Schizosaccharomyces pombe: one gene and its partner. Changing the gene in region 1 together with any one later gene gives a genetic interaction. Each region holds a gene or a part of one and is shown on either strand. Other genes may lie near its edges.

The links. A genetic interaction does not mean that the proteins touch.
Region 2: of mip1 (region 1) and ptr1, a mutation in one rescues a mutant of the other (synthetic rescue), as found in Schizosaccharomyces pombe (one study listed by BioGRID).

The regions. Positions count from the first base shown.
Region 1 is NC_003424.3:1,516,723-1,523,411, forward strand, and holds mip1 (WD repeat-containing protein), read right to left. Parts: upstream 4,721-6,689; 5' UTR 4,569-4,720; coding exon 627-4,568; 3' UTR 501-626; downstream 1-500. Other genes in the region: ssz1 (putative heat shock protein Pdr13), read right to left, coding at 67-144; coatomer gamma subunit Sec21, read left to right, coding at 4,990-5,020, 5,065-6,689. UniProt on the Schizosaccharomyces pombe protein: Component of TORC1, which regulates multiple cellular processes to control cell growth in response to environmental signals. Tor2 is essential for growth. Nutrient limitation and environmental stress signals cause inactivation of TORC1.
Region 2 is NC_003424.3:5,206,701-5,211,683, reverse strand, and holds the start of ptr1 (E3 ubiquitin-protein ligase), read right to left. Parts: upstream 3,045-4,983; 5' UTR 2,909-3,044; coding exon 1-2,908. Other genes in the region: terminal uridylyltransferase Cid1, read right to left, coding at 3,549-4,381, 4,483-4,623, 4,728-4,971. UniProt on the Schizosaccharomyces pombe protein: Probable ubiquitin ligase protein involved in mRNA export. E3 ubiquitin ligase proteins mediate ubiquitination and subsequent proteasomal degradation of target proteins.

The DNA.
Region 1 (6,689 bases):
ATAAAGCAAGTCTATGCGAATGAACTAGGAGATTACTCATTTCTCCAAGTAAAAAAATTTTCTTACCCTATTAAAAGCAATAGAACTGTTTTGATTTCCAAAAGAAATTCCAATGACAGTCTTGTATTCTTCGGAATCTGCCATTATAAAATTTTCGCTGAATGGGAGAGTTTTCGTTAGCTTCAGCTGCATCAGAATTTACGACCCGAATATAAGAAAGTAATAGTACAATGCGAAAACATGAAATTGTGAATAAATAAATAAATTGGTATATTAGTATATTATTAATTATTTTTTAAGTTAAAAAAAGCTTTTTTTTCTTGACATTAAAAAACATTGATAATTACTAGCTTTTTCATAAAATGTATATAAAAGATTCAATTTTTCGATGAATGTAATATCTTAATTGTAAATTAGTGATTTTTTAAACTTCTTCAAAACCATATTAAAAATTGGTTTTACAAATATCTATAGCAGAGTTACACGGCAAAGGAGAAGACTAAGCAAAGTGGCAGGTTTAGCAAAATATGTATAATAACCAAATTAAGTGTTGCTAATAGAAAGAAAAGTCTAATCAGGTAAAGTAATCAATAATAAATTATGTTAAAACTATAGGAAAACATGGTTTAAAACTCGTTCGGCGAATCCGTATGAATCTCGTTTTTGGTGCAAGAGTATAGATTAACTCTACTATCTGTGTTATCACCACATGCAAGTAATAAATGATGCGGGTGAAACTTCAGGCACATTAAACTGGATGGTTTAGGCTGATTAAGGAACCGTGGATTTTCACGGAAGGTATTAATATTCTGGCCTAACGTGTCCCAAATTTTTATGCTTTGATTTGAGGAACCGGTTGCATAAACTGGGGCGTGACTATGCACAGTTAAAGAGGTGAGTCCAGAGTTGTCTGTTGAAAAAGTCTGTAAAGAATGATTCATCCTAATATCCCATAGCTTAACTTCACCATCTGAACTCGCCGAAATCAATTCTCGCATTCCGGAGGATTGCATTTCAACATTGACGATCTCGGACGAATGTTCTTTCCAAACATCCGTTAGTGAATCTCTTGCAGGCAATCGTTTGTCGTAAACACGAAGAACTCCATCTGAAAATCCAGCAACTATAATATTACAACCGACCAAATCGCTAGTTAAACTTGTAATACTATTACTGCTTCTTACTGGTAGGTTTGCATAGCAGATTTCTTTAGAAGCATCCCATATTCGAATAACGCGTACGTCTCCAGCAACAAGCAAGTGCCCACAGTTCTGTTGCCAACTCATTAAAAGGCTAGCATTTCGATCTCCAAAGACAAGATCACTTAGAGAATTCCACGAAGTTACCAGTTCAACCTTTTCATTTTCGTAGTCACGATACAGTTTAATTGTGCCATCAGAAGACCCAGTCATCAATAAAGCAACATCATCTTCATTTAGTAATTGCATGTCGGTCACGTTAGTTGTCGCACTTGCTGAAGTTTTGAAAGAATTGAGGCAACGATTGCGACGCCAGTCCCATACCTGAATGATATCTTTGTCACCTAATGTAATTAACTGATCTTCAAATTGGTGAAACATAAGCTTCCTAGGAGCGATAGTATTATTAAATGTCATAAGTTGTTGATTCCAACGACCGTTGGTTGAGTATTCAGCAAGGGGACGAGTACGATAAATAAGTTTTTCGTTTCTGTTTCTTCTCCACAAACGTTGATTATAGCAAATACTTCCAGGTTCATCGTCTTCGTTCGGCCGCATTTGGGGTTCGGTAAAATACTTACGAGACCAATCAAATAAGTAACTTGTAAGCGGCATGTCTAGCTCGGATTGGTATTCAAGTTCATTAAATGCAGGTGGACCAGGAACTTTGGCGGAAGTTAAGTGATTTAAATTAGACTCTGCAGGTTTGTTTTCTCCATTTAAGGAAAGTAATTCAGAAGCGCGATCACTTCCTGCCAGGCTTAAAGCCAAGCCTTTCAACGATCTAGTCAGAGAGAATGACCTGTTCAAGATTTTGTTTTCTGAAACAGAAGGAACGAAGGGATGTGGCTTCGGGTCGCTCGTAACTGAATTAGTATCGGTATCTTTGGAAAGAGAAGCTTTATGGAGAGCAGGTAAGTGTTGCAGAAGAAATGCTAAAAATGATTCTCTTAATTCAGAATTTAGCATACTCTGATAAACGTAATTTATTATGGCTTCAGCTGCAAGAGAAATTTCGATGCTTGGATCTGCAGCCAAAACCAAAACAGCTTGCCAAACTGTTTCGTAAATTGTCGAAGCACTGATAGAATTGTGGTTCTTTTTCTCAAGGATATCTGCTAAACTGCTCTCATACGCAACTACCATTAATTGCTTCTTATAATTCACTACAAAGTGAGAAAGGAATATCACTAGTTCATGTCGAACTAATGGTGACGCATCAGAAAGAGCTGCTAACGCCGCAATTGCAATATAAGTTTCAACAGCAACGACTTCTTCGGTCTTCTCAGGAAATCCCAAAAAAGTGGTAAACGCTGTTAAAACTGATGCACGAACTTCAGGAACGGAGTCAACGATGATTTCAGCTAATTTTACATGTGCATTATCACGAGTTCCAGACCATTTAGCTTCAGAGTAATTTTCCCAAAGCTGAGAAATACATAGGCAAGCCCATTGTCTTAATAAAGAGTCGGGACTATTTAAATGGGAAAGACAATGTGATAAAACCTGTGGGTTTAAACAAGCTAGCTGGCCTTGTGGGAACCCACGACAAAAAACACTGAGGATGAACGCACACATTGCTCGGTGTTCGGAAATATTACTTGAAGGAAAAATGGAAGAATTAGGGTTCAAAATTTGGACAAAATATCCATAGCCATTGTCTTTTAGTAAGTCAGCTTGACAAGAATCATCTACAGCAAGGATTCTCGCCCAAATAAATACCAACACAGGCTTTAACTCAATAGCTGGAGACTGGAGAAGTTTCAAAACGTAAGGAAATATACCAATAGAGAGCGCTAAATCTACCGCCCACACCCCGAGATCCAGAAATTTTGAGAGAAGAATTAGTGCACGCAATCGATGAACTTGTGAAAGTAATACCTGCAAAACTAGCGGTAATTGATCCGGTGGCTTTCTGCTAATTAGTCCTTGAGAGAGCCATACCTCAAAGGCAGTTAATTGCTCACTAAAAAATGTCGAATGCTTGTACTCGTAGGCTATGCCTTTGCTTTCAGCATCAAGCATATCAGGTAACTGAGATAGACAATTATCAATGGCCAAATCCCAAGAATTCCACATAGGATGATCGTGGGTAGGGGGGAGTTCAGGACTGGACTGAGGATGACAGGAATGAACGAGCATTATACGTTCCGCTAATAGAAAGTTACGAAACAGTGCTGCTACCATAAGATCTTGCCTAAATAATCTTCTGAAAAGATGCTTTGGAAAGACATTCCAAGCAATCGTATCTGTAATAGCAGTAAATATCCAGTTTAATTCGCCTAATGGAGTACGCCGATCTTGCAAGCGACCGGGAATTTTAAGAAGCATATTCAAATTAAGCTTATTAGGAAACGGGTTTTGCAAGACATACCAACGAACCGAAATTTCAATTGGGGAGGTAAGGCAAGAAGTAAACAAATCAGCTGGCAGATCTGGGTTCATCGGAAGGGTTTCTTTAGGCCCACAAGCAGCAAGTTGAATACAACTAGTATGAGAAGGCATAGCGAGCACATTGGGATTTTGCTTAGCAATACGGAGAGCTTCTTTGTCTCTCTGCTCGGCAAAACGATTAAAATTCACTATGATATTCCCAGCTGCGCTACAATCGTAAACATATATACAAGGCGCTCCAAGCCAAGATTGTAAGTCATAAAGCGATACAGGAATGTATTGAGTATAATTTTTATTGAAAACCCAGATTTCACCAGAGGCAGTAGGCATTGGGACACCATGACCATTATAATGAAAAAGGATCCGTTCCTCTTTAGCGTTTCGTCTTTGACCAATGCAAAGTTTTTTGACTTCTTCAATTGCGGGATCAAGGTAATGCCTATATCTTGTTCTCATACTTAATGTTTCATATTGTTGCTGCAAGTTCTTGCCAATGGCTTCAAGTGCTTTAGAAGCAGGTAATGAAAACGGATCAATCCAACATTCATATTTCGCTGCAGGATTAGGCTTTATAACATCAGGAGGATCCACCCCTATGTTTAAGCAAACTAACAATGCTGCAGAAACAGTTTTAAGCCGTTCGCGCATTCTCCAATCATGAATTGTTTCAGTAGGTTCGGCATTCTTTTTGCTGATCACCCCCCGATGCCGTTTATCAGTGTAATACATGTAAAAGACCTGCTCTAACATGTTTATATATTCAGCATTGTTGTACTCTTCTTCAAAACCATGTCTAGGTTGCGGGAATCCGGACTGTATCCCATCTATCATTGAACTCGCTGTATCGACACCATTCTCTGTAGCAATGTTGCTGTTCTCTGTGTATCTATCGCTTCCGGTCTCGGTTGTTCCATAGCTTAAGACTGATCTACGAGCCCTTGAGCTACCAGATACTTCACTAATTCTATCATTCATGTCGCATAGCTCAAAATCAAATACAACATTTCAAGAACTCTTCCCTATGTACAAAAGGTCGGTAAATCAGGAACTCAAGGGAAACTTAATTAACAAAACAAAAAAAAATAAGAGAAAATTAAGATGACTCTGTATGTATATACGAATTACGCAAGTGATATAGGAGAAATGTCAAAGCAATTAAACCATGTAAGTTACGAACTTTTGCAGTGTTTTATGGGCATATTTCGTTATACTGTTTAACGCTCGTAAAATACTTCAGTAATCCACTTAAGAAATATAAAATACACAACACGTTATACTTTGGTAATAATCGAAACCTCCTACTAGCTAATTATTTATCTACTACATACATCCAGTACGTTCATTTAGTTCTCTATATCTGTATTTCTGCTAAATACAAGAGACTTTTGTAAAGAAGATGAGTTATTCTAAAAAAGATGATGATGGTGGTATGTTGATTGTTTGGAATTATGAGCTGACCTTTTAACAATAGACGAATCGATATTTGCCAATGTCAATCAAGTCACAGTAACTCAAGATGCTAGGGCTTTTAATTCATCTTCCATAAGCCCTAGAAAGAGTAGACGTCTTCTTAGCAAAATCGCCTACTTGATATATACGGGAGAGCATTTCCAGGAAAAGCAAGCTACAGAACTCTTTTTTGGTATTACTAAACTTTTCCAACACAAAGACCCTAGTCTTCGCCAATTTGTTTATATTATTATCAAGGAGCTTTCCGTTGTTGCTGAAGATGTGATTATGATTACCAGTAGTATCATGAAAGACACCGCTACGGGACGTGAAACTATATACCGTCCTAATGCTATTCGCTCTTTGATTCGTGTCATTGATGCTAACACTGTCCCTGCGATTGAACGCATTTTAACTACGGGTATTGTTGACCCCATATCAGCTGTTGCCAGCGCTGCTCTTGTTTCCGCATATCATTTATATCCTGTTGCGAAAGACATTGTATCGCGTTGGAACAACGAGGTTCAAGACGCGGTCACATCTCATAATGTTGGTAGAAAAGTTGCTAGCTCTCCTTTTTTCACCTCTACCTTGGGTTACACACCAAATGCCAGCGGCATTTCTCAATATCATGCTTTAGGTCTTCTGTACCGTATTCGAAGACATGATTCGATTGCAATGAATAAGTTATTGCAGCTGCTTGTAAGCAATTTAGGAACAGTCTCAAATTCTCATGCATTTGTTATGCTTATCCGCTACATTTCTAGTCTAATGGATCAAAACACTCAATTTAGAGACCAGATGGTTCCATTTCTACATGGGTGGTTAAAAAGTAAAGGAGACATGGTAAACTTAGAAGTTGCTAGAAATATGGTCCGTCTCAAAAATATCTCAGATGATGACTTGCAACCTGTGGTTAGCGTTCTTAAAATTTTCTTGTCGTCTCACCGATCCGCTACCCGATTTTCAGCTATTCGTACGCTTAACGAGTTAGCCATGACACGTCCACACTTAGTACATTCCTGCAATCTTAATATCGAGTCTTTAATTACCGACGTGAATCGCTCCATTGCCACCTACGCTATCACAACACTTCTAAAGACTGGTAATGATGAGTCTGTCGACCGTTTGATGAAACAGATTGTTACCTTTATGTCCGATATTTCAGATAATTTCAAAATTATCGTCGTTGATGCCATTCGTTCTTTATGTCTAAAATTTCCTCGCAAGCAAGATTCAATGCTTACCTTTCTTAGTAATATACTTTGCGATGAAGGTGGTTATGAATTTAAACGTGCTGCCGTTGATGCTATTTCTGACATGATTAAATACATTCCGGAATCTAAAGAACGAGCCCTTGCCGAGTTATGTGAATTTATAGAGGATTGTGAATATCCTAAGATTGCGGTACGGATTTTATCTATTCTCGGCGAAGAAGGTCCTAAAGCCTCAGAACCAACGAGATTTATCCGCTATATTTACAATCGGATTATGCTTGAGAATGCCATCGTACGTTCCGCTGCCGTTAGCGCTTTGACCAAATTTGGATTGAATGCGGAAGATAAATTTGTCCAACGGAGTGTTAAGGTTATTCTCACAAGGTGTTTGGAAGATGCTGATGACGAGGTTCGTGATCGTGCTGCTTTT
Region 2 (4,983 bases), 3.7 Mb from region 1:
TTGATAAGTTAATAAGTTCATCAACAACAAGAGCGATATTACTACCAAGTTTATGAATCATTTTGTATTCATTGAAATCTTGTACGCTTGTATTTCCTAAAGCTCGAGTTAATGAAGTGAAAAACTTAGATACTCCATAAGCAATTTGAGAAAAATTCGAACGTATATTCTGAAATTTACAAAAAGATGAATCTTGTGTTAATTCCTTTTTCTTTGTCTCAAACTTTTCTTTTTCATCTTTGTCGGTAACGATGGTAGTCAAGGAGTCACTGCAAAGAACAAAGTCATCAGAAACACCTAAACATATATGTATGTCCAATGATGTTGCAATGCTTTTAATATTACATAAAATATCAAAAATACCAGCATAACGTGAAGGACTAATAAAAAGTTGAACTAATGGAAGATTTCCAGCTTTTTTCAATGCAGCATGGGAAGAAAATAGCTCAGCGAAAATAGTCAGCAAATTCCCAACGATTGAGAAATGTAGAAAATTATTTGCATCTTCGTGGCCCATATTTGAGTCCTTTATCAATGAAATCGTGGCTTGTTTCAGTGAGACTATAGTAAACTCAGTAATGCCTTCTTCACATCGAGTAATTATACAGTCTAGCAAGGGCCGAAAGACCTCTGGAGCATCAAAATCAACTGCATGATGTAAAAGAACAAAAAACGAGTTGAAGGCAGAAGAGTCTATAAATCCAAAAGCCAGTACGGGATGTTGAATGAGATTGAGCACGTGCGACACAATCCCTTTGGATATTAAATACCTTGCGTGACCTTCGTTTGTAATAATATTTTCAAGAAAACTAGAAAATGTTTCAAGATACAACAAATAAGGATATTCTTTGGCATTTATATATTGAAATGGATTGAAATTGTCAAGAAGAGCGGAAACCTGGTCACAGGCTTTAAATATCATCTTCACAATTGGATCTTTAAGGGAGGGTTGATGCCGCATAAGTTCGTCGATGTAAGTACCAAGGATGGCAGCATTATCGCTTGATATAAGTGACTTACAATGATTTAACGATGTGAATATTGAGAAAAGTTGTGGGATAGGATTTTTCTCTAAAAATAAATCAAACCCTTGAGAGTTCAAGCATATTGCACCAAAAGCTAAAGGAATTGATGTTATTGCATCAGAAGAATTGAGTATTTTCCGATTGACAGCATCCAAAAATGCATGTGACAATTTCTTTTCATGAATAATTCCATAGCAAGTAGGCTCATTATGGATGAATGTTGACATTATATTAGTAGTAGATGCGAATAAGTTGGAGCCATAGACTTCATGGTGCTCTAGCAGAAAAGCAAGGGATGAAATGAGAGAAGAATCAATTAAATTACGAAGCTCAACGACAGAGCCACCTGATTGAATTAGATGTAACACAAACTTGAGTAAATTTTTTAGAAGGAAGTAACGGTCATATGAAATGGCATAATCCATATTTAAAACAATCTCTGGGTTACCTTTTCCAGATTTAATATCTTGAAGTCCAGCCTCAAGCTCGTATTGAACACGGTCAACCAGCATATCCAATCCTTTAGACTCAGAAAAATCTGGGAATGCCATAGAGTAACCATCGATGAGATGGTCCAACATGACAATCGATCTTGCTACAACATAAGTAGCCTGTGGAGTCTTCACAGACAGATGATAACCCAAAAGAGAAGTGAGACCTGCAGAACAGGCCATGTTACCGCCAAGAGGCGATGAAGTCATAAATTGAAGGAAGTCATAAAAACTATCAACATATTCTCTCTCGTAATAGAAATTCGGGTTTTCTAAGTTTTTAGAAAAATCACGAACGAGATTCATCATTAATCCGTAACTAACAGATACATTTAAAGATGCCAGTACAGATGGAATCATACTCTTCTTAAAGAAGAAAGCTTTAAAACATTCAAAACAAACAGCTTTAAAGTTTTGAGGAAGATCCACATCTGGAGAAACCAAATTAGCTAAATGGGTGGTGATTTCCGGATCGGCGATTAAAAATCTTGTTTGAACTGCCTGAGAATGAGCATAAACAAGATTAGAAAGAGCCAATAATCCGATACGAATCATCAAGCGCCGTCTATTTATATCATAAAGATTTTGACGTAACATTAGTGAAACAAGGAGATCAAATGAATATTGTTCAGGAATCTGATTATCGTGCAAAGTTTTCACAAGAAGCTCTTCTATAGGCTTTCCAAGAACTTTATTATATGGTAATTTTAAAATCGAAAATCCTTCAGAATTTGGTTGACTTGCAGATGAAAAATCTTTTGATGGAGAGCTTTTATAATAAGAAAGCTCCAAAGAACACCATTCTTGCGGGATCTCATTTGAAAATAACAAAGTCTCGTAATTTTGTGAAAATCCGGTTTTCATTGCATCTTGAGGAAGAAACATTAAAAAGCGAAATAACCGATCTTGTGAAAGAGAAAACAGCTGCTTTCCTCGCTTTGAAATCGTTGCTTTTTGTACAATATGAAGAAGCAAGGCTAATGTAGAATCTATAACTTCGAGCACAGAGCTATTTAATAAATACTCTAGATAAACAGTAGAGTTATATATGGAGCGATTCGCGCAATGACTAAGCAGATGCGCCGAAAAGCTCAGGATCTCTAACAAGATACTCAAAGTGTCAGAATCAAAAGGTTTTGTCTGAACTTTATCCTTTAAAGAATAATGTTCAACAATACGTTCCAGAATAGCATCAAACCTATTCAAAACTGGGACCCATGAATACAAATCGCCACGAGGATATGGCCAATCGTTTTTTCTGAATTCTGAACAAAGAGAGACAAGACCCAAGTCTGAAGTTACTTCTTCATTTTGAGCTTGTCTAATAAACTCAGCAACCCTAGGAGGTGGCTGAGAATATTGATTTTTAGGAGGACTTTTCGTTATCCTCATTTTTGCTTAAAGCATCAAAATCTCGAAATATAGTTAAATACCCACCTTGAGAAAAATGCCAAATTTATTATGTTCTAATGAATTGTACCAACGAACAGAAGGGAAATAGACCCAGCTGAATGTTTGGTAAAAGTTCAAATGTGATGGTTAGCATGCTGCAATGCGTCTACAAATTTGGAAACAATATGAATTTTACGAAAAAATTTGATAAGCTAAAATAATTTCTGTACGCTATAGTAATTAAGAAAAAAAGATAAACTCTTTATATGTGTTTACGCACATTACCGAGGCTAAACGAAAAAATATTTGGTTATTTCCGTTCAATTTAAAGAAATTGATATAAACAATAGCTTAGCATTTGCAATAAATAATTATTAATTATAGATCTATGAAAATTTTTTGGACATTGATGTTAACTATGATGAGCCTATTTTCTCACCAACAAGTAGACTATTAACAAGAGGTTGTACATAAAACAAAGGGGGAAAGGTATTAGAAACAAGAGGTCAAAATTTTTAAAGAAAAATAAAAACATTCCATGCTTTCAAAAGTAAGCAAATAAAAGCAGAGTAATAATGAATGATTACTATGAATCTAGGGGAATGAATATTGATGCGCTTTTTAAGACTTCTTTGTAAAATCACTCAGAATTGTCACCATCGGTTTCATTCAACAATTTTTTGTTAGATTGTTCATCCGTTTTTTTCTGGCGACGAGGCGGAATTGGGGCCTCCTCAAATAATGAATCATAAGGGATAGGATATGAGCGAGAATTGAGCAACCTTGAAGCGGCCATAAATTCCCCTCGAATCCGATACAATCCAGAACTGCTAACTGTCCTACCCACATTATGTGAAATCTCGAAAGGATCTTCAATCGCAAGAATATACCTGTCTTTTATAATTTGATCAGCCGATCCAGTGTGTTCAGTAGCTGAAGTCCATCCTTTCTCTTGCTTTGTGAGGTAACCGTCTGGTCTACGAAAAGTTACTACCTTTTCCCGTGGCTCGAACTTATAAGCATAAAATCTAAAAAAGCCATGAAGTAAACTTCCCAATGAGCTATAATTTTGGGAAGGAGGGATATCTTCCAGTTTATCGTCAAAACCAACGTCAAATCCATCAACTATCTTTTCTTGTTTCAAAGGTGACAACAGTAAATTAGGAAAGACGGGAGGCTTGATAACGTGAATCAGATAGTAAAGAACCATTAGGACGTAACCATAACTGGAAAGAGTTCCAAAGTAAGGAGAGTTGATTTGCTTCCGTTTGGCCCAATGCTTAACAAGAAGGACCATGGGTTTTAGGCGAGCATCTAATTTTGTATATGAAGAAAGTAAAAGCGTATTATGAATAGCTAGACGATTGTTAAATCCAATATCACATTGAAACGAAGCCCCAAATCCATTTTTCGTATCAGATGTTAATTTGATAATGGGAATTCTTGCCCTTTGTAAAAATTTTCCTTCAAATCCTGTCGATAGTTAGTTATGCGAGCCAACTGGAAAGGAAAAAAACAATATTCAGAGATAGTTTGTCTAAACTGAATAACTTTTAATGAATAATTATACTTACCTTCAGCTATAAGCTCTTCATAGAATTGGAGCGCAATTGTATCACTTTGGACGCGCGAATCCATAAGCACGCACAAATCCATATCCGAATTTTTAAGTGCTAAACCAGATTCCAAACTTCCAAAGGCTACCAATTCAGCATCTAAGTCACATATCATTAGAATTGGACATTATCAATATTTGGTAAAGTCTCCACTCTCGTTAACTACATAATTGAGACAGTCCTAAATTTATATTCAAACATACCAGGGGATATTCGTTTAAGGCATAGCCGAAGTGTATCTAATGCCGCTCTCTTTTCTTTAAACTCTTTGTCACTAATTTTAATCTCATTATACACTTCATAGCAAAACTTCGTAAATTCCTTGTGCGAATTAGGGACCTTTTGGTAGCTACAACTTTTTGAAATATGTAAATTTTTGTGAATTTCTGCCTCAATCTCTTCAACTGTGTGAACACCAGGAATAAATTGTGCAGAAGAAATGTTCATATTCGTCTACTG